Schizosaccharomyces pombe: one gene and its partners. Each later gene encodes a partner of the first gene's protein in a complex. Each region holds a gene or a part of one and is shown in the gene's direction. Other genes may lie near its edges. The genes, in order: mrpl20, rtc6, mrpl32 and mrpl28.

The links.
Region 2: mrpl20 (region 1) and rtc6 share a complex: the UniProt entries of both Schizosaccharomyces pombe proteins name them as parts of the mitochondrial large ribosomal subunit.
Region 3: mrpl20 (region 1) and mrpl32 share a complex: the UniProt entries of both Schizosaccharomyces pombe proteins name them as parts of the mitochondrial large ribosomal subunit.
Region 4: mrpl20 (region 1) and mrpl28 share a complex: the UniProt entries of both Schizosaccharomyces pombe proteins name them as parts of the mitochondrial large ribosomal subunit.

Annotation. Positions count from the first base shown.
Region 1 is NC_003421.2:817,905-825,033, forward strand, and holds mrpl20 (mitochondrial 54S ribosomal protein mL58), read left to right. Parts: upstream 1-3,390; 5' UTR 3,391-3,739; coding exon 3,740-4,333; 3' UTR 4,334-5,573; downstream 5,574-7,129. Other genes in the region: Cu(2+) transporter complex subunit Ctr4, read left to right, coding at 555-1,424; telomere cap complex subunit Ten1, read right to left, coding at 1,945-2,253; SPOM_SPCC1393.12 (uncharacterized protein), read left to right, coding at 5,775-6,101. UniProt on the Schizosaccharomyces pombe protein: Component of the mitochondrial ribosome (mitoribosome), a dedicated translation machinery responsible for the synthesis of mitochondrial genome-encoded proteins, including at least some of the essential transmembrane subunits of the mitochondrial respiratory chain.
Region 2 is NC_003423.3:1,518,089-1,522,343, reverse strand, and holds rtc6 (mitochondrial 54S ribosomal protein bL36m), read left to right. Parts: upstream 1-1,853; coding exon 1,854-2,132; 3' UTR 2,133-2,314; downstream 2,315-4,255. Other genes in the region: Lid2 complex histone demethylase H3-K36 subunit Jmj3, read right to left, coding at 1-900, 957-1,073; RNA-binding protein Yme2, read right to left, coding at 2,355-4,255. UniProt on the Schizosaccharomyces pombe protein: Component of the mitochondrial ribosome (mitoribosome), a dedicated translation machinery responsible for the synthesis of mitochondrial genome-encoded proteins, including at least some of the essential transmembrane subunits of the mitochondrial respiratory chain.
Region 3 is NC_003423.3:3,904,407-3,910,423, forward strand, and holds mrpl32 (mitochondrial 54S ribosomal protein bL32m), read left to right. Parts: upstream 1-3,445; 5' UTR 3,446-3,731; coding exon 3,732-4,043; 3' UTR 4,044-4,325; downstream 4,326-6,017. Other genes in the region: PAK-like kinase Shk1, read left to right, coding at 676-2,652; SPOM_SPBC1604.12 (uncharacterized protein), read right to left, coding at 4,487-6,017. UniProt on the Schizosaccharomyces pombe protein: Component of the mitochondrial ribosome (mitoribosome), a dedicated translation machinery responsible for the synthesis of mitochondrial genome-encoded proteins, including at least some of the essential transmembrane subunits of the mitochondrial respiratory chain.
Region 4 is NC_003424.3:2,666,138-2,672,109, forward strand, and holds mrpl28 (mitochondrial 54S ribosomal protein mL40), read left to right. Parts: upstream 1-3,513; 5' UTR 3,514-3,675; coding exon 3,676-4,032; 3' UTR 4,033-4,231; downstream 4,232-5,972. Other genes in the region: hxk2 (hexokinase 2), read left to right, coding at 1-1,046; mrps12 (mitochondrial 37S ribosomal protein uS12m), read right to left, coding at 2,197-2,685; Brix domain-containing protein Rpf1, read right to left, coding at 4,392-5,312. UniProt on the Schizosaccharomyces pombe protein: Involved in mitochondrial genome encoded proteins translation.

The DNA of each region.
Region 1 (7,129 bases):
CGTAGGTTATGGTATATATAAGGAAGGTGTGATAGAGACATTCCTGGACGCTTAACCTTGAGACGATTGTTTGACTGAAAGGCTTTGGTAGAACATTGGGTTGGTTAGTTTAATCGTTTAAATTCAGTTTATTTACTTGTAATTTTTCATATTGGTCGAAAAATTGGTTTTTTTTAGCAAAATATAGAAACAGAATATTTTCTTTGAAATCTGTATAAATTCAATTTGCTCTTCAATTCGTTGAGATTCTGCCCATTGATTGCCGAAATTTCGTTCATTTTATAATTGTGTTTTCTTTCTTTTCTTGTCTCTCATTTTCTTTTTCTTCCTTTTGATATTCATTTCTCCATTGTGTTTCGTAGGGTTAATTTTCATCTGCATATATTCTGTTTTCTTGTTTTTTAAGAACAAAAATTTTTCATCTAAATATATAATTGTCAAAGTTAGTAAGATACTGGTCTTCCCTAATCTTCAAGTTTTCTTTTAACTCTTTCGTCCTTTTTTTCTAAAACTCATTTACTACTCTTCTGGTTTTTTATTTTTCCCTAGAAGTCATGTCTTTCTTCTCCGCTGCAAAGCAAAGTCTGGGTAATTCCCTCATTAAGTTAGGAACATCTATGGCTCAAAATTCCCAAGGCCCTGTAGATGACTCTAGCTTGTCTCAATTGGAGAATTTGCTCCCACCTTTGCAAATTTTGACTGCTAGAGCCGCTATGGCTGCTATGAACATGTCGAATGATACATCCATGTCTGGAATGAACATGACCAACAGTACGACACCCATGTCTGGAATGAACATGACCAATAGTACAACATCCATGTCTGGAATGAACATGTCCAACAGCACAACATCCATGTCTGGCATGAATATGACTAATACCACTACAACCGCAAAGGCTTCTTCTTGTAAATTATCCATGTATTGGAACTGGTATACTATCGATGCTTGCTTTATTACCAAACATTGGCATATCACCAGTAAGCATATGTTTGTCGGTAGTATTTTCGGAATTATCTTCATGATGATGGCATTGGAATTGGTCCGTCGCGGACAAAGAGAGTTCGATCGTTGGTGTGTCCGTAGATTTTCTCCCGCTAGCAATTCCTGCTGTCATTCGGGTGCCCCTGTTCATTCTGGTCCAAGCATGGCCCTTCGAATCTTTCTTCATTTTCTTCGGTCCTGCTTTTATCTAGTCCAGTATATTGTCGCGTATATCGCAATGTTACTCGCAATGTATTATAATGGCTATGTAATTTTATTTCTCTTTTGTGGCACCTTCTTTGGCTATTTCCTGTTTGGTGCGGATACCATCTCTACTAAGGCCTCTTCATCTGTTCAAACGAAAACGATCGTTCAAGTCGCCGACGAAAAACACGAACATGATTCCAGTCAATATTCAGACACAACACCTACAACCGAATAGCTTGATTATCTCTAAATTTGGTTTAGTATTCCCAATTTCATGCACCTCACTCATTTTCAGTGCTGAAGCGTCTGATTAATCATAATCGTCTTCGCTTTAATTTCTTTCGCACAGTCACTGATAGTTTGGAAGAGGATTCTTTGATGAATGTTGAAGCCACATATTACATGTCCATGTTGGAAAGACAAAACAAATTCTGGTAATTTGTCTTAAGTTTTTACAAAGTAATAAAAGTTTCAACAAAAATAAATAGATGCCACAAGGTAACGCTTATCTTTGTTAGTTAAACATTCAAATTAGAGTATATAGCAATTTGAACAGATGTAATTCGTTCCTTTTTTTTTTTAACCATGATTGTTTGTTTTCGACTTTGAACCTGGAGGTTAATAAATATTTATTATTATAAAGACTGACATTAACACGATTCAGTACCTTTATGGTATCTTAAGGTGATCACTTTCTATATATTTTTAAATGAGTTTGTAATGACATGGTGCAACAGAACTACATAAGATATTCATCAATCACATTTTTGACGTTCAGAAACCATTTGTCGATATCTCGGAAGATTAATTCCAACAGCAGATCGTATTAACAAGACATCCACAATACCATCCTGCCGCTTTCTCCCAACAATGTTGAGCCACTCATGCTTTTGAATAGATACATCAGGTAAAACTACTGTAACATCACAAGTCACGCTGCTTGATCCATCAATCAACCGTAGAATGCCATTCTTATATGATTGCACGCATCCTAAAAATCGAAGTTTTTGGCCGTCCTTACAATCGTTAATTTGATTAATGAAGATAAGTTTAGCACTATCCATCAGCTGCTAAATATATTGTAAAAAGGAGAACAAGGAAAGATGAGGGAAGGTGGTATAGTTTGTGTTTGGAAACTGGGTAATCGATTGAAATATGAATTTCGTAAATGAGCGACTTAAGATCGCAGCTTTAATTAAGAAAACGTAGTTTGACTTTTTCAAAAGGAAAAATTTGCATTAATCCTTAAAATGTGCAGAAAGACTACACTCTCGTTTGCAATAGTAAAAGCAAAATCTAATAATCGTATAGTACTATCAGTGAGGCATATTAGATTGATAAATAGACCAACATTTCCATTATTATTATTTATGAATTGGTTTACTTGAGCAACTCCACAAAAAACGCAAGCATGGTTCTTTTGATTAGTTTTTATAAATTAAGTCAGATGGAATATAAAAAGAGAAAAATAAATGCTTTGGCCGGGAATCGAACCCGGGTCGAATCGATGGCAACGATTCATTATACCACTAAACCACCAAAGCTTCTTGAAATATCTTGTAAACTTGTATAATATAAGTAGCTATTAACGATAACGATAATTATTTATTATACCATTATAATATTGATTAAAATCAAGCAGAGAATTGGAAACATGTTCTGATGTAGTTGTTTAAGGCCTTATAAGAAATCAATAGTTCTTGTAATAAATTCCGATTTTAGTTATAGGGCCAATGCGGCTAATATTCACTTGATAAATTGAAGCTGACTGTAAACAAAAGGTTACCCCTTACTTAACCATTTGATATTATAATTTACATTGCAAAAAATTTGGGTCAGTTTGAAAAGGTGTGTACATTTCCTAAAAATCTATGGAAAATTGAAAAAAATAAAATAAATTTAATTTAATATTTAAAATATCATGCTTCCAGTATTCAATATAATCGGTATTTAAATTGAACCATGAACAGATTAGAAATGGTTTAAAAAAAAAACAGCAAAACAAAATTGTATTGAATTTATCCTACAATCAAAATGCCGTTAACAATATTTTTTAGCTTGAATCTTCCGATTTCTCTTAATAAACCGTCAAAGTGCCAAAAACCAGTTTTAATATAACGAATTATATAATATACATTTAAGGTGCCATAAACACACTGCATTATACGTATTGAAACTAAGAGTGTGGATACTGTGCATATAGAGACTGCTAAACTCCAGGAAACCCGCATTTGGAGAGTAATTTCGTGTTTTTACTCGGAAAATTGCAAGCCTTAATACGATTCTTGTAAATTCAAAAGTTAGAACTCTTCCAAGTGATTTTTTGCGTGTTTTTTTGCTGTTTATTTTTTTTTTGCATTGAGCTCTTTTGTCACGTCGTTGCTATAGCTTTTAGGCTTTGAGAATCTTCGTTATAACTAATATTATTTGAAGTGTGGGTTTATCCAAAAGGCCCTTTACAGTTTTTTGTGTTATAACCTTTTCTCAAAAAAATTTAAAGCATCATTTCTAAAGCGACACCAAAATTAAAATAGTTGAAAGAGTAAAAACATGTTGTTTACAATCAAACCTTCATTTTTGAAGCCTGTAGGCTTCATTCAGACTCGGAATTTGAACCGGCTATACCCTAAACAACGTATTCCTAAGCGACCTAAAATTCCTATGGGTTCCAAAATAGCAGAGGTAACTGAAACTACATCTGCTTATTACAATCCACCAGCGTCTTCTCCAGATGTTAGGATTACTCCTCCTGTTTTTCGCTATGATGCACCTCCAATTCATCAGCGTGATACCTCACTTTCCAAAGAGTCAATGTTTCTCCCGCCGGCAGTTAGCCGAAAATCGAAAAGCAAAGGAAAGTTGAGGTTTTCTACTCATCAACTGAGTAGTGAAGATATCAAATCCATCCAAGACTTGAGGACGAAAGATCCGAATGCTTGGACAACTGGAACACTGTCTAAAAAGTTTAACACAACTCGGTTACTAATTTCACGAGTTTGTGAAGCTCCCAAAGAAAGGATTCAAAAAGTTGAAGAAAATTTTGAGGCTGAAAAACTTGCCTGGGGATCAAAGAAGCGTGAAATTCGCCGACAACGTGCATCTCGTCAAGCATTCCGTACATTGGAACGAGTAGCACAGGTTTAAAATAATTTAATAGTTTTTGGGATTCTAAAACTCTGGTTTTCAATAAAGCTCTGATGCACATGCGGAAGCGTTTTTGACTGCATTATTTAATGTTTCAATCACGTTACAAAATACTCGAGTGATTTGAAAGTTCCTTGGAAAATAATATTAGTTTTGAAGCTTTTCAAAAAAAACAGACATCTTCATTCTTCTTTATTTCTTAATTTACAAAGGCTCTCTGGCATTTTACGAATTATCCTTTACATTTCTATCAACATTTACGCACATTGGTCTGCATATCGCGAATTTTTGTCGCAACCTTTAAAATGTTATTATACAGGCACGAACTTGTTTTACATTTTTACCTCTCCCTTCTCATGTACATATTTCCTTTTTGGAACAAATGAGGAAATTTTTCATTTCAGCTTAGTAGGCTCGGAAATCCTCAATCATAGAGTATGTTGCTTTTGTAACACTCAAGCCAGTTTTTTTTTTTTTTTGGTTTTATCTTTTAACTATTACTGAGAATATACAATGGTGTACATAATTAATTGGGTCAGCGAGCAGTAAAAAAACATCTTTATTTCCTCTTGTACAGAGAGCCCTTTCGTTCAAACCTCAAGTGGTGAAAATAAAGATATTTTTTCGGCTTTTAAGCAGTTGCTATTTAAGATTTCCAATCGACATCAACCGTTTATAAACACTCACGAGATACTTACTTTTGCAAGTTTCCTCACCAGCCATCATCCATCCATCTCCTTAGGACAATTTGCATTCTACGGATTTCATTAATACATCCATCTCTAGCTACTATTTACTTATATTAAAGCTTTGTTTCGCCGTTTTCTACTTTTTTGAAGCTTGTGTGACTATACGTGCTCTTCTTTGTTGGCCCAATTTTCCAACGATCGTCTAAAGAAACATGCGACCTAGTTGAGGAATTTTGCTTTAAGACATTGTTTTTACAGACTCTAACAAGCTTAATTTGTATGGTGGACACAGCTTTGTTGTAATACTGCATACTGCGATTCTCAAATCCTACACTCCTCTCTCCTCTTCTCTCCTTGTTACTTAGTACCTCGAGAAGTTTTGGGGTGACATCAGTCAGACACAAGAATTATATGATGGGTGGGTGGGTTAATACGTATATGAATGATCTCATTTACGTTGCCGTATTGTGCTACTAAAAGTGTTATATATAGAGCAGTGGGAAGTAGAAGTGAGCACTCTTATTAACGATAAAGTTGTGAGTTGAACAAAAGCGACTTACTACTTTGAAATATTGTTTTACTTTACAATTGAACATTTACTAGTGTTCAGGAAAAATCTAATTTTTTTTCGTGCGCTCGATTGAATATTATATCAATCCTTTGTGTTGTACGGAGAAAACCGCTTTTATATAACCTTTCGATTTATTAATTTTTTTTTACTCGGTTAATTCACGAAATCCTAATCGAGCATCATGAATAGGCGTGTTACTCTTGGAGCCTTGGCCGCTGCTGTTGGTGTTGGTTATTATATGACTCGCCATAATCGTCAGGCATCTTCCAGATTGGAACAGAAGAATGCAGAAATCGTCAGAGCCGTGGAAAATGAGGGTCAACGATTTGACAAAGCTGTTGGCGAAACCACTGAAAAGGCAAAATCTTATCTCCAAAGTGGGAAGGAGAGGGTTGTCGATGAACTCGACAAACCTCGTGAAAACGTAAAAAATGTGTTGTCAGAGGCGCAAGCCAAGGGTACTGAACAAGCAGAAGCCCTTAAAAAGGGTACCTCAAAATGGTTTTAAATTGGAAATCCCCAATTCTCGCCATTTAGGGTTATGTGGCAATACTTTGAAAAAATACACACAGGGTTTGTTGTGTATTTGAAAACGTAAAGTGCCTAGCATTGGCTCGTTCTATACCTGCTATCCATTAAGTGTTCTTGTTAATTGTTCCAAACGTATTGCCAAACATTCCGGATCACATCTCGGCAAAGTCGGAGAGATTAAACGTTGTTAACGTTATTCTTTTTTATGTTATTATTAGTTTCTTCTCTCATAAACCAACTGAACCCAAATGATTAGCGATGACAAACAAACGACGATTCCATGGGTTGTCAAAAACACCCTCATAGAAGTTTGCTTTTTTTTGTACAGATAAAAGCGAATTTTTAATTGAAATAATGTTTTTCATGAACGCATAAATGAATGATTGAAATTTTTACATGCATGATTTTCCATTATAGACTGTAAAATGATATTTAAAGTAAGCGATGTGGACTAAGAGTAGTGATAATGCATATGAATACATGCATAGTTTGGATATTATAGGTTTTTCCTAGTTTCCATTATTAAAAAAATAAAAGATTGAAAGGAGTGTTTTGCTTTAATCTGCTCTAGTAGACAGAGTCAAAATTGATATATTTAATAATATTCAAGATGAAGAGATAGAACTCATCAAGTTCGCTTAGATATAACCTTAGCTTACGCGAAAGATGAGAATACTGTAATGCATAGTTTTTTGTTAATTTGAGACAACGAGAGGTATGGAAAATGCCCCTCAGGTGAATTCTCTAAATAAGCTAAAAAGTCAAACGCAAAAAAATGCATTATGCCGGTTTATAGAAGATAAACTTTTTTTTGCTGACAAATATTACGATGGAATTGTCGTTTTGACATTTCTTAGCCGTCGTACCTAATGCTTCTGACTGCTAATCAAGCTCTAAAAAAGCGCAGTTCGTTATACTTCTCTATCCCGTTTTCACCTTCATGACAAGTCCTGCGTATGTATGCATTCTACCATCTTCCATTATTCGCACTTGGGCGTACTCAGC
Region 2 (4,255 bases), on another chromosome or scaffold:
AAGGGATTCTGAAACCATAAGTCTTCGTAAATTAGAAAATTCATAGTTGGAAGCAGATCTTGGTGAACGAAAGACAAAACGTCGTAAAACAGCGTCTCCTAGACAAAATGCACTATGATGTGTGCCTGGAAAGGTTATAAGCAGTTCATCCTGTTTAAGGACTGTTGAATAAGTAACAATACCATTTTGTACTAGAGTTGAAGGGGGAAACAAAATATTCTGGTGAAGCAAAAAATCTGAACAACGCCAATGCTCATCTTGCGCAAGCTTTCCAGCTAATTTTTTAAAAGACTCACTATGTGCTGAAGGTATCACATACCATTGCAATGAAGAGCCACCTAAATGTACCTGAACTGCATGCAGCTCAGGAGATTCTACCCGCCAAGGAAGGGTAGTTTTCCATTTCCCAGCAAATAAGTGACCAACATTTGGCCAAGTGTTAATCAATGTATTCGATCTTAAATGTACCCTATCTTTTTGAGCAGCAGATATCGAAGGTATAAAATAGAAGGGGATCGATGGGCGATTAGTATATCCATACCACAGACTGTCATGGGTCAAAGAACGCCAATAATATGCAATAGCTTTAGCCACATTGTTTTCAAAGTCATTAGAACTTCCAGCGTTTGAAGGAAACCTGTCGTCGACATTCATATCGGTAGGCTTTTTAGGACCAGCCGAGCCATGGTCTATATCGCTTTGAATCTCGAAGTACTCTCCTTTCCGTCTCACCATTCGCTCTAACCATAAATCCATTTTTACATCGGAAGGTTTCATTGTATCTTCGTTCCAAGGATTTAAAACAGAACTAGGACGAACAACTTTAATTGCGCCGTATTTCTTGCCAAGCCTTTCAACGCGCCGAATAAAACTTTCCATATCTACAAATTCTGAAATTTTCTAAACAAATTTTGTTAACATCCACAAAATATTTAATATTTTTCGCGTAAACTTACTGGTTCCACAACAGGTATGCCATCTGACCCTTCGATATGATAATCGATTTCACACTCCAAAGAACTCACTGATGTGTCACTTTTGCCAGCATGTTTCTCTTTAACATTTTGCTGCATAGCAATCTATTTTTCAGCCTTTGGATTGAATATTTTGGTGTTTTTGAGACATCCACCAATTCGTGGGATTTGCTAAATTTTCCTTTAACAATCTTTTACCAAGGCAAATGACGCATCTGCACTCCAGTTCCATACCCAAATTAGCAAAGTATAACGAACTCGTTATACCAGCAACTAAAAACATAAACAAATTCTCAAAAATTGATCATTTCAAATTAATCGATTAGCATGCCAAACCAAATAACGTAGAATCAAAGTTATTAGATGATGCGGTCAATTAGCTATTTTAGGGACTAAGAAGGTCAGAGACTCAACATTAAAATTTTCATTTGTAAACAAAAAATGGAGCTACACTGTTGAGTTGACTCCACTTTAATAAAAGTATTCCTTATTTTAAAATAATGTGATAAATTTCAGGTCAAATTGCTCCACAGTAAGCTGGCTATTGAATTTATAGAATAACAAGACATGTTGGTTGTCACTAACTGACATGTCGTAGGTTAGCTTACTAGAAGCACTAACTACTATTTATTTTCCCAACAAAGAATATCCAACAAATCGGGCGTAAGCGAGTTTATATAACTTAGTATTCACCTTTTTTTTTTATGAAAATCTTCTCTTGTTGATAGGCATTTTCTATTATCGTTCTTTTTTGGCTCAGTCCAAATTGTGAACACTTTTCCATCGTACATCATTTATTTAGCTCAGAATTACTTCGGATCCAAAAAAATTTAAACATCTTGACTTGAAGTCCCAGTTTCACTTTTTTTTTAACTTATAATGGCTTCATTAGGTCGTAAATTTTTTGCTGTGGGTGTTTTGTCACGAGTCTTCCCTTCTGCTTTTAATGCACAAAAAGGGTTGTTAAAAAATGCATCTATGTTCTTAACCCCTGCTTTCAGACTTTCTCCTAGCCTTCTACCTTGGAACTTTTCAAGAGGTTTCAAAGTGAAAGCATCAGTAAAAAAGCGTTGTTCATCCTGCTATTTTGTGCGTCGCAAAGGTAGGTTGTATGTACTATGCAAAAAACATCCGAGACATAAAACCCGTCAAGGTTAATGACTATAACCGGTTTCGCTTCTTCTTTTTTTTTCTACCTAGGCTAATTCTTCATTACGCTCACTTCATATTACGACGATTTTTGGACTACCTACCAAATCCTTACTCCCTTCTCTCTCGTTAATGCGTAGTCATTAAATGTGATATTATTGTTGACATTATAGCTTCATGCTAAAGAATTCATAAAAACATACGTAATCTTAAATGATATGCTTTCGCATCTTAGTCGATTTTTTTCAAAGCCTCAGTAAGCCTTTCTATACTTTTCTCATTATCAGTAATAACACCTTGATTTTTCTGGATACGCGTCGTTAAGTAATGAGCACGATCCTTCACACCTGATTCAAGGTTCCCAAGGTCCTTTAGCATTTGTAGCTCCTGTTCATCATTCTTGATAGCATTGTTAGCCATGCCAATTAACGCGTTACATCTCACCAACTGCATATTAGCACTTAATACTGGATCATTTACAAGTTGCCGGAAAGCCGTAACATATACAGGTTTTCCAGCGTAGACTTTATCCGGTCTTGCATTCACTGTGGTAATAGTAATCAATTCTGATTCTTCCAAGGCACGAACGGCATCGTCGTGTCCTTTGAACAGTGGGTCAAGCATCAACATATGATAGGGTATATATTCATGTTGAGATAAATAAGTAATTAAGGTCCATGACTCTTCTGGAGTGAACGTTGGCTTCTCCTCACTGGTTAAAGAAGCAGGCCGTAAAAATGTTTGCAAAATATCAGAGGCATTTTGACTTACAATACCGCCAATTGCTTCAGAAACACTGGAAGAATTAACCCGCAACCTACGAGCTACATAATCAAGATCACGAAGTCGGCCACCAATCTTCGGTAATTGGACCCGCAATTCTTTCCTCAATTCTTCTGTTTGCATCTCTTCGGGTAAAGACTCTATGACATATCGCTGAGCAAGTACAGGGTCAGCATCTCCTAATAACAATGTTCTATTTTCCCAACCGTTGACATATTGCTCTAATGACTTGGTGCCTCCAACATCGGGTGTTAGCATTAGTACATGAGCAATTCCTTCCTTTACCAAATTACCAGCCCATTCAGCAACCACTCTCTGCATCGGGTTTGATAATTTACGAAGCTGGAAATTGTCGAGAATAACAACAGGTAAGCGATCTGCATGAACTTCTAAAAACTCAGATTCATCCAACACACTAGTATCGGCTTCTTTATGCTCTCGTAATGCTAGAGAACGCAATACCGTTTGTGTTGTGTTAAGAATTTGCCGCACTTGTCCTTCACTAGAAGAAACAATTCCCGTTTTTTGTCCTATGAGACCTTGTGCAGCCATATCGATAAGTGACGATATGTTGTTTAGGAAGCTAAAGAGGGGGAAATACCCCGTTTGGCTAGCAAGAGTACTTACGAACATTTCCGTATTAGTAGTGGAGAATAAGCGATCACAGTCGAAAAACAAAACATTTTTTCGTTCTTTAACAACTCGATCTACCAGATCACGCTTACCACTACCACGAGGACCTTGAACAACAATAAAAGAATGTAATGCTTCATCCAACCATTCTTTCAACTGTTCACAATCCTTTTCACGTGTTGTCCAAATCGGTGCCTTTATATTTGTACCATTTTCGTGAAAGGGACTCAAAACTATATCGCGAGTTTTCTTTTTGACCCACCCAACAACATTGATATTTCTCAACTTCTGACCATGTACAATGTTTGTCTCGACAAAGAACTTTCTTATCGGATCGAATAAAGAAGCCGTTAAAACTGTAATAGCCGCCGCAACCAAAGGAATAGTAAAACGAGGATGAGAGAATAACCAGTCTTTGAAGGCGACAAAGCGGTTCATATGTCTGTATCGCATGTGGAATTCTGTTTTCCCATAAACAAAACCATGCATACAGTTTAAAGCTGACGTAGCGGACCTTAGCGATGAAAAACTCAAAGTAGCAGAAGTAGGTGAATTAATGGTCACGGATCTTAGTTTTCCATATGTCCTAAAAATACTATACAATCTTTCCTGGGAAAGGGGCGGACCTTCGAAATTCACATCTACTGTACGAGATGGAAATATATATAAATCTTGAAGCCAAGGAATACCATGTACCATGTGTGGAATCGGGGTAG
Region 3 (6,017 bases), on another chromosome or scaffold:
AGGTTATGGGATGTTAAAGGCGAATTCCAAAAAGAACTTGCTTTTTCAAATTCACTGATTTAAGACTTTATAACAAAAAGATCTTTTTTATAAATCCTAACTGATTAGTGAAATTAATATAAGATAATATGCTTGCTGGTGAATATTGAATCAAAACTTGCTACTGAAGTGATAGTAGCATTCAACCCTACGCTTAGAACTTGATCTTCACCAACAACCCAGTAACCTACTTTATACTTCTTTATGCGCCAGCGAGTATACCACCGAAGTCTTATAAGTTTTGTTTAATTTAGAACTATACATTAAACTATCAAGAAAATTATCCAAGTAAACAGTGCTGACGCGACCTTCGTGTTCTAGTTTATCATTTATAGAGATTTAGTCAATTGAGTAGATTCTTTGATATTCTTTTCTTTTTGAAAAGGATCTATTTCAAAAGTTTCCTTTTCGGTTGTTAATCTGTACAACTGATTCCTCATAAAAGTGGCAGCGGCACAAGTTACTGTGCCCTTTGCGCCTCTTACTAGGAGAAAAATCCTTTTCAACTTAAGTGCTCTATTCTTGTCTTTTTGTTTTTTTTTTGCATACTGAAACTTATTCCTTCGTTCTGCAACACATTTGCCATAGTCCTATTTCTGTTTTTCTTTACCCTTTTCGTTAATAAATTTATTTACTATGGAAAGAGGGACTTTACAACCTCGAAAGAAGGCTCCAAATGGCTATGGAATAACCCCTATTGTTGCTCATAAAACTGGTGAACCTGTACGTTATGAAGTAGAAGATGATTTGAGAAAACTGAAGCCCAGCAGGACAGCTCCAAAGCCTCCAGCTATAAATACTAATCTTGCTGAAGACACCTTTTCCGGTTTCCCTTTATCTCAATCCCGTACAACTGTATCTAGGGTTTCACTTGGTTCTCGTCAGCATAGTAGCAGTTCCATTAGAAAACTTCAGACTAATGTTTCTGATGTGCGTTCATATGATGAAAGGAACCAAAAGAAGTCTGCGTTTGAAAACTTTGTCTCGAGCATGAGTTCGTTCTTAACTGGGGGTGGTAGCAGTCCTACAAGTTCCTATGGGTCAGGCTCTGCCAGCCCTCGCAAATCGACTGTCATCTCTTCTCCATTTGATCCGAAGCATGTCACTCACGTTGGTTTTAATTATGATACTGGGGAATTTACTGGAATGCCTACTGAATGGCAGGCACTACTAAAAGTCAGTGGCATTACAAAGTCGGAACAAGTACAACATCCACAGGCCGTTTTGGACGCTATGGCTTTTTATTCCCAATCCAAGAAATATCTTGAGGAGGGAGCAAAGCCACCCTTTCCCCGTGAAAGTACTGAGAAGCCTTTACTCTCCGTTTCAGCGTTGTCTAGTAGTTCTCATCTTCAACCCACCTCTGCTACAAGCTCATCTTCTCGTTTGTATCCTTCTCGACCTGCTCCCACGCCTCCTGCAAGTTCTTCATCGTCTCCTTTATTATCATCACAAACAGTTAAAACTACTACCTCTAATGCTTCTCGACAACCTTCTCCATTAGTTTCCAGCAAGTCAACCGATAATATAATCCGAAGTCATTCCCCTGTTTTGTTAACGCCTCAAACCTTAAGTACATCTGAAACGAAACATATCCGTCCGAATAACTCGACACCATATCAACGGAGAGCCGAGACTAGCACCAAACCGAAAGCTGTTGCGACTCCTCAAAAAGTGGAAGCACCAAGTGCCCCTCGACTTCAAAAGCGTGCACCTCGACAACAATCCAATGATTCTGCTGTATTGGCAAAGTTACAGTCTATATGCAATCCCAAAAATCCAACACTTTTATATCGAAATTTTGTTAAAATTGGTCAAGGTGCTTCTGGTGATGTGTATTCTGCTCGCCAAGTCGGCACTAATCTTTCTGTTGCCATCAAGAAAATGAACATTAATCAACAGCCAAAAAAGGAATTTATTGTCAATGAAATACTCGTGATGAAGTCACATCATCACAAAAACATTGTCAATTTTATTGACACTTTCTTCTATAAATCAGAGTTGTGGATGGTAATGGAATACATGCGCGGTGGCAGTCTTACTGAAGTGGTTACCAATAACACTCTTTCAGAAGGTCAGATAGCTGCAATATGTAAGGAAACGTTGGAAGGCTTACAGCATCTCCATGAAAATGGCATTGTTCACCGTGACATAAAATCAGACAATATCCTTCTCTCACTTCAAGGAGATATTAAACTTACCGATTTTGGGTTTTGTGCTCAGATCGACAGTAACATGACGAAACGAACGACGATGGTTGGTACTCCATATTGGATGGCTCCAGAAGTCGTTACTAGAAAGGAATATGGTTTCAAAGTTGATGTCTGGAGTCTTGGTATTATGGCTATAGAGATGGTAGAGGGAGAGCCCCCGTATTTAAACGAAAATCCTTTACGTGCTCTATATTTAATTGCTACTATTGGTACTCCAAAGATTAGTCGGCCAGAATTGTTAAGTTCTGTTTTCCATGATTTTCTTTCTAAATCTTTAACTGTTAATCCTAAGCAACGCCCTAGCTCCGGTGAGCTTTTAAGGCATCCGTTTCTTAAGCAAGCCGTTCCAGTTTCATCCCTTATCCCTTTGATAAAATCCATACATCATTCTGGTAAATAGGCTAACTTGTCAAAAAAGTTTTTGAGTAAACATCTGCTGTTAGAAGTTTCGGAATATCCTCCAACGTTTGCTTAAAAACTGTTTCTTCTCACATTGTTTATTTATCGTTAATATGCTTTTGCAGTTCGTTAGAATATATGTACCTGAGTTTATTTTTTTGCCTCCTCCACTAAAATCCATATCCGCAGGTTGGGCAGATTCAAACAGAGTACATTTTAACTACTTTTTTGCTTTACTTTAATTCCTTTTTCTAGTGCATACTTTACTTATCTGTTCCTTTTTTTTTGTTTTTTTCTTACTGCCAAGAATGATCTCAGTGACACTTGGATAATTTTTATAATAAATGAGACAATGCTTCTTTCTAAAAGTCTCAACTTTTTAATATTCGCAATGCATTATAAAAAAACTAAAAGGAAGACTAACTTATCAAAGTATTCAAAATGTAAGTACATGATTCTGAGATTGATCTTGAATCAGTCAAAATAGGTTTGAATCTTTTAAAGCGATGTTTCAATTTCAATTATGTGGAATCTCAAAGTGAAACGCCTGCTGGAATATTTCACAAAATTTTTGATCTACTAAAATTAGTACAAATACGTAGAAAACTTCAAATAATTAAATGGACTATGATTGTAGCGTAGTTCATGAGCTTAAGAAAATTGTCAACATTAAACTGCGAGACTTAATAAAGAGAGAGCGCACTTAGCATTTAAATGTCAAGCCAAAGCAATAGTGAATTTGAGGAGTCTCGTTATACATGGGTTATTACTACTCAACAGCAGACTATAGATTTAGGCAGCAGCCTACTTCTTAAGCATTGTCTCGAAACCAAAGTAACTGGTCTTTAAGTTTCCTTTTGACGACTTCCAATTATTTCAAACTCTTTTCTCGGAGATCGTAAATCTATCTGTGATTGGGTCTACTGGTTTTAGAAAACGGCTATATGCATCGTTTTATAACTATATAATTAAGATCAAGTTCTGCAGTAACTAAGTTCGCCTTACCTTGAGAAAACTTTTAAAATATTGTTCAGCATTACTGTACCCAACAATATTCTACTGTTCGCGCTTGGGTCGAAAATGGCTCTTTTAAGAGGAAATTCTTTGGCAATTAGCCAAAAAATGTTATCAGTTTTTCAAGCTAGCGCCCTTCCTCATATTTCTTTGAGGATATTTATTTCCCCCCCTTCAATAGCTAATATATGGAATTCCATTTTGCTTGCTGTTCCAAAGAAAAAAACTTCTTATACTAAGAAACGAAGTCGCTTACTGTCCGGAAAAGCATTAAAAGACAAAACAGTTAATCGTTGTCCTATTTGCGGGTCTTTTAAATTGGCACATCATTTATGTTCTCACTGTTTTAGAAATATTCGTCGAGAATTTAACGAATGAAGGGCATTAAGCATTTCTTCACTGATTTAGTGATGCTGCAAATCTTTATTTTAAGAAAAAAAATGGACTTAACATTAAATATAAGGTTGTTTCATGTAATAGTATTGCAGTTAGTGAATTGAATCTGCTCGCACTACTTAAATTTTTTCAGTATTACGATTAATGAACTACACCCTTTTTAAAAATACGCGTATAACAAAGAATTTTTTTACTTAATTTTATTTGTTGACTATGTACGGTTGAGTATAAATATCATATATTATGCAAAAGAATTTAGAGTGAAAAAATAACAAAAAAGCTGAATATATCTCTTAGCTTTCATCCTTTTTCAATACACGTTTATGTTGTAAGCGTGTAAATAATATTAAATGCATCGAAAACACAAAAGAGACTATAATCTCATGTAAAGTATACATAAACGATAACAATAAGAAAAAACCAAGCTAGTTTTTCGCCCTCCATAAACCGGAATCAATTCGTTCTCGGCGTTGAGGATCATAACGATTAGCGTTCATTGAATTACGAAAAGAGCGACGAGCCACTTGAATTGTCTTGCTACCTGGAAGACAAACAGTTACACGCAGTGGATGAGTAGGATGAATTCGAAGGGGTTGTTTGGAAGATGAGCGGTATATAGGAACCTTCTCCTCTAATGGTTTCATTTCCTCTAATTTTAATGATTTAGTAGGAAGAAACCGCTCCGGGTTCACTTTAGGCAAATGTAAATTCAAAATAACATCGCCCTTCGATCGCTGAATTCGAACAGAATTTGCATGACTAAGTATCAATCTCGATGATTTTAAAGAGCTCGTTTCCGAGGATACTACATAACTACTACTTCTGGTATCACGACCTTTGGAGTGGCTGTAAGAAGAGGATGAAGAAACAGGTTGACCGAGAGCATTAGAATTGCCAATGCGTGAAACTCCTCCATGTTCGTTGGGGACACGATGGGGTAAATGAGCATTTGCGGCCACCCCACTTTGATAGGATCTCTGTTTATATAAGTTATTGTCAAAAATGACATCCTTTATACTTAAAATAACTTCATCAATACTCCGAGACTTTCCATGTTTCGGGGAAGAAGTACTATCATCAGATTGGGGATTCAACTGTAAAGGATCATTTTTATCCGACGTAAATAAAGGCGAGACTTGAACAGGAGGAATTGGATGACTATGACTTCTCCATGAAAGCGGAGTAGAATCATCTCTGGGGCTAGAAGGATCAATTTCTGTTGTCTCTTGGTTACTATGTAGTCCTTCGGGACTATTGGTAATAGACTGAGGCTCTTTAGTGTATATTGCTTCAACTTTTTTGCTAGACTCGACATTGGAAGACCGCTCATTAGTAATAGTGGGTGAGGAATTCATCTTTGATGATGATATCTTTATTTCTTCAGCTTTTTTACGGGCTCGTTCTCGTGATCGAGCAAGTTCTTCTTCTTCATTCCTCCGCCTTTCAATTGCTTTCTGGCGAGCTTCGAGCATAATTTGCTGTTGCTCTGCGCGAAGGTCGTTGATACGACCAGAAGCTTCTTTGTCAAAACGTTTTTCATTATTTTTGTGGGCAAAACTTTCACTTGAATCGCTGACGATTTCTACTTTATTGATATGTCTTGGCAATGCCGTAGATTTTTCAACAAATTCCTCATGAGTGACATTAGGGTTTTTCTTCTCCTTTGATATTTGAGGTTTTTCTTTCTTCAGAAATGCCCTTTCAGTTGGTTCAGCTTCATCAGAAATCGTGGGGTTATGCACAGATACAGCGCTAGTTGGAGCATTAGGGTAAACAGGTTCAGGCAGTGAAACGGCCTCATCTGTAATATTAGAGTGTTCATTAATACTAGCTTCTTCTGGAACAGGGATTTTGGATGGAGCCGCAGAAGATACAGATTCATTCGAGGGTGCAGAAGGGACATGATTTGAAGCAAGAGTGTCTTGACGTTTCACTGGCTCATACCTCCTCGTTTTC
Region 4 (5,972 bases), on another chromosome or scaffold:
CCATCATTGACTTTATGAGTGACCATGTTGAGCTTTTCATCAAGGAGCACTTCCCTTCCAAGTTTGGCTGCCCTGAGGAGGAATACCTTCCTATGGGTTTCACCTTTTCTTATCCCGCCAACCAAGTTTCCATCACCGAGAGCTACTTGCTTCGTTGGACCAAGGGTCTTAACATTCCTGAGGCCATCAACAAGGACTTTGCCCAATTTTTGACTGAAGGTTTCAAGGCTCGTAACCTTCCTATTAGAATCGAGGCTGTCATCAACGATACCGTCGGTACTCTCGTTACCCGTGCTTATACTTCAAAGGAGAGCGACACCTTTATGGGTATCATTTTCGGAACCGGTACCAACGGTGCTTACGTCGAGCAAATGAACCAAATTCCCAAGCTTGCTGGCAAGTGTACTGGTGATCATATGCTTATCAACATGGAATGGGGAGCAACTGATTTCTCTTGCCTTCACTCCACTCGTTATGATTTACTTCTTGATCATGATACTCCCAATGCTGGTCGTCAAATCTTTGAGAAGCGCGTTGGTGGTATGTATCTCGGTGAGCTTTTCCGCCGTGCCTTATTCCACTTGATCAAGGTTTACAACTTCAACGAAGGTATTTTCCCTCCTTCCATTACTGATGCTTGGTCTTTGGAAACTTCTGTTCTTTCCAGAATGATGGTTGAACGTTCTGCTGAGAATGTTCGTAACGTTCTTAGTACATTCAAGTTCCGTTTCCGCAGCGACGAAGAGGCTTTGTACCTTTGGGATGCTGCTCATGCAATTGGCCGTCGTGCTGCTCGTATGTCTGCCGTTCCCATTGCTTCTTTGTATCTTTCTACCGGCCGCGCTGGTAAGAAGAGTGATGTTGGTGTTGATGGTTCTTTAGTCGAACACTATCCTCACTTTGTTGACATGCTCCGTGAAGCCTTGCGTGAGCTTATCGGTGATAACGAAAAATTGATTTCCATTGGTATTGCCAAGGATGGCAGTGGTATTGGTGCCGCTCTTTGCGCCCTCCAAGCTGTTAAGGAAAAGAAAGGCTTGGCCTAAATCATGTTAGATGTCTGTTAGCTTTTTTTGAATTGTACGTAGAAATGAGCATGTAAATATGAAATTGCTTTTTAACAGCTTTTAGTTAAGATGTTTTTTTTGAAAGTGAATTTATTTCCTGGAATTAGTTAATAGTATGAAGATTGAATATCAGATGAATTAAAAAGCATGTTGTGATTGATGTTATATGTCTCTTTAAAACAAAATTGTGGTTGTGTATTGTTATTAAATTTGTTACGATTTTGTTAACATTCCAAAAAAGAGTACGGAATTTACAAACATTACAGGACATCTCAAAGATGTGTGTGTAAATTGATTCTAACAAAAAGAAATTTGATTTTTTTTAATCTGAGTTTGTAAAAAATAAGATTCATCATACCCTATTATCTCAAATTTATGAATTATTCGGGTTCAAGATAAAATCTTCTTTTTCTTTCAAGAAATCCAATTAACCAAGATTTGTTAAAAAATATTTTTCTCATCGTTTAGTAAATTTTTCTGCAACGTTGAACGGTGAAGTTGTGCTAGCAATACTGCATACTATATAAATAAGAACCGGAAAGCGTTTTCCAACACCCAAAAGGTGTTTTTTATACTTTATTCAAGAGTTAAAAATTAAATAGCACGGTAGTAAAACCAAATTGAACAAATTAAAAATTGAAAGCGTCTCAAGTTTAAAATTTATTTAAAGAGCTTATATCAAAAAAGTAGAAAACTTTCCAAAAGGATTTCTCAAAAGAAAATCCTCCTCATTTTAATAAATCATTGTTTAGATAGATTTGGTTAAATTTTAACCAAAAGGATTATCTATTTGCTAATTTTTTAGATAACTGGAAATTGCCTAATTACACAATCTTTTTTACCTTTTTTTGATGATTGTATGTTTAAAGGGGATGTAGTTCAACTAAAAAATTGCTTATTAAACATGCAAGAGTAAATGATTATTGAATATGTATAGTTGCAACAAGAAGCAAGGTTGCGAGAAATGACAAATGGGTTGACTCAACTTTTTTCTCATTTAAATTTTTGTTTCAGTCATTTTAATAAGGTCCTTGTGAATCGATATCAAAAGAGGAGGTGGAATAATTATAAAGATAACGTTTCTGAATATCATGGTTTTCGAAAAAGAAAGTCTTTGAGGTCATGAAGTTTAGGCTGCTTTCGGTTTTTTTACTCCATACTTGCTTCGGGATGTGACACGTCCCGCTACACCAGCAATGTCATAGACACCCCGAACAACATGATATTGGACTCCTGGACAATCCTGTGCTCTGCCGCCTCTTAACAATACCACAGCATGCTCCTGTGCATTATGACCGATACCTGGAATGTAAGCAGTAACAGAACGGCCGGTTGAAAGGCGTACACGGGCAACCTTTCTTACTGCCGAATTAGGTTTTTTGGGTTTTACTGTAAAGACCCTCGTGCACACACCCCGTCGAAACGGACTTCCCTCTAAAGCAACAGATTGCTTATTTGTTTTTTCAGGACGTTTCTCTTTATTTCTTATCGTTTGATTTAATGTCTTTAACATAACTGAAGAGCTAGAAAACGCTTGAGCCTGAAATGGTGAAATAACTGTTGGCTTCATCAACCTTGAAATTACCGGATATCGAGCATATTGAGCAAAACGGATCATTATTTGGGGAAATTTAATATTTGAGCTGTATAAAATCTCAAAAATCACTATAATAGATGCTTGAGCAAGGAATTCCGAAGTTTGTACCCGAACGTCGCTGGTTTGGTGTTAGTGTATGTATATTGCCTTGGAATAGAATATCTCGCAGCATTCATATTATTCGATGGGATACAAAAATTTATTCTTTTATATTTTGACAAACATTTTTGGGTATAACTAGCGTATTAAATATTTTTTCCTCTAGGAATTGAACTTTAATGGACTAGTCTAAAACAGATGCAGAATGTAGGTATGCTAATCGACAAATTTACAGTACAGTGTTAAGCTGAAAAAATCAACTTAATTCATGACTTCTACTGAAAAACGTACTGGAAGTAGATTGTATTGAGGTTTAAGCTTCGTTTTGCCATGCCATTTTCAGTTGATGATAGTATTTATTACAATAACTTATCCATTCATTAAAACTTTAAACACTGATATGGATTTATCAATGTGTTTGACTACTTACATGAAACTTAGCAGAAAAATTGAGCATCAGGCCTACTCCATATAAAGCTTTGACTTAAAACTTAATATTTTCTACTTGTTAAATGTCTTCGTTTGGTTACATATCTCCATAAATGCATATGCTTTGTTTGGCTTAGCTACTGAAAATTCAGAAACAATTAAATGAACTCCGAATTATAATCTATATTTTTTTTATCAGTGTGTGAAATTGAAGGGGATTTGATGAAACACTTCTTTTTTTGAAATATCGTACTGGTGGCTTTTCCTAGTGTATCACGACTTACTCTCTTAATTAGCTTCATACCACTGAACACGTTTACTACTACCGCATTTTTCTCTACTCAGGTTTTTTAGCTTTTAAAGGAAGGTTTTATGTTAATACTTTTGAAAATTAAATTTTTTTCTATCAACGTGAAAAAATTCAAGGAGTACTTTAGTTTGTGTTGAAAAGTTTTTTGGCAGATGCGTTCTACGTTACAATTAATGGCTAAGGCCTCAAAGGGAAAGCACCAATCTGGTCCTTCTAATCATAGTGAGTCAATCGATTTGGTTAGAAAAGCTCTTTACGGAAATAAAAAAGTCAGGTCTTTGAAAATGAATCCAGACATGTGGGAAAAACACGAAGTTATTAATCGCGCTTGGCGTATACACGAATATCGACAAGAAAAACAAAGAGAGAATCTTCTAAAAAACCAATTCTCTGCAATGAAAATTGCTTGCGAGGAACTGAAGCATACGAGTGAAACATTATATAAAGCCGCAATGAGCGATTCAATTAACAGGAGGTTCCCCGTAGAAACGAGGACTCCTACGGACACACCACCACGGCTTTCTAAATAGGCGAGCGCCTTTTATGAGTATAATTAATATCTTCGGTAGTGCTCGAAAGTGTTATAGACAAGTTCAAGTATATAAAAAAATGTATCACTAATTACGAGCAAGTATAATCTAATTAGGATTTTTAAATAAACCAATAATTGAATTAAAGAATTATGTCTCCTAGTTTCTAGTCTACATGTATCATATTATTCATTCCCAATTTCACCGTAAACGAATGATACAAAATGAAAGGCCATGCTTTCTTTTTTAACCAAAAATTTAGAATTGTTACCAAACCCAAACCCTACCTCGAAAACAATAAAATATGACCCAAACACTGTTTTCTTTTTACAACGTGTCGCAGATGAGACAAAATGTCTTTAAAGCCAGAATTTACGTCTATCTGATTCTTCACCGGCATTGCTCTCGAAGAAAACCTCCCCTTCTTTCCTATCCCATACTCCTTTTTGAACCATACGAAGACGCATGGTAAATCGAGGACCTAATTCTTGTAGCCCAGTTCCAATACCATCTGGCATATTCGATTTTTCACGAAATGCATAACGGTGTCTTCGAAAAAAAAGAAAATCTCTTTGACAATGGATGGTAACAACTTGTCGCCCTTGAATTTGAGGCGTTTGAATAAATAATGATTGAAAGGCTCGAGCAACAGTCATACCAAGTCTCGTTGAGAAATTGTTGATTATCAGTTCTGGAATATGACCAGTGGAGCGGCCATGATTTGAAATTTCCTTTGCTGTTTGGAGATTCGATAAGGTAAAATAGAACGAAGGGCCATTCGGTAAGTGTACAAGGGTTAATGCATTTGTTTTTTTACGATCCTCATTTAATACCAGTAAATCGGTGTAACCACGCTTAGCAGCGGCTTCTGCGATTTCATGAACTTCAATATCTCCGGTTCTTTTTCGAAATTCAGCATTAGGAAAACAATCTAAAAGCTCAGATGCAAAATCATAGCATTTTCTAGAGGCTCGTTTACTCGTGGTTACCAAAAGTTTCGGAACTTTCCTTTCTTCACTAAAGTATGCAGAAAACTCATCATCTTTTAACTCCGCCTGAAGTTCCTCATCGGGTTTATCCTCTATGATAGTTTCATCATAAACTCGTTTCGATTCAATAGTAGCGGGAATATTTTCTGAAAGTCGCAATCTCTTCTTTTCCGGGTCTTTTTCTTCTTCTTTAGCACGTTCTTTTCTTCTTTCAAGCTTGTCCTTATTTTTTTGATGAAGAGCCTTCATATACTGCTGTTGGCGGACAATTTTGTTTTTAATCTTCCCCATTTTAATAAGTTGCGTATAATCTCTCAAAATTTAAAATTTAAGAATGAAATAATTTAAATCCTTACAAAAAATTGCAACTAAAAAAAATTGAGATAAGAATGAGCAACTTAAGTACAAATAAAAGAGAGTTAAAAAAAAGTATACGATGGGTTTGAAGTCTCAAAAACTTATTGCACAATCCAATTCCATGTCGCAAAATACCGAATCTGAAGAACATGCTACGAATTTCGTCAAATTTGCTTAAAAGTATTAACGCAGTATTATATCACACTGCTGTTAAGCAAAATGTATACTTTAGTTACAATTACTGTTTGTAAATAGGTGATATTACAATCCGAAATCGTACACTATAGATATCCTCATCATTAAATTGTTGAACAACTGAAAGCATTGTGGTAAGGGTTCAACATTCTACAAATCACTCACGCTACTTTCATTTTCACATTTGAATGCGTGCTTTGAATGGAACTAGCAGAAATGAAAGGGACGATAGTCTTTTAATTTCATTTCTTTACTTTCTTTTTACTTTCTTCTGAACTGAATTGCTATATTGATAAATTAAATAATGTTCTGGATAACCAGAACGAATCAGAACGTGTCTTTTAATAGCAAAATTTTTCAAAACCAAAAGCCAATGAACAATGTAAGCAAAAAGGAGGA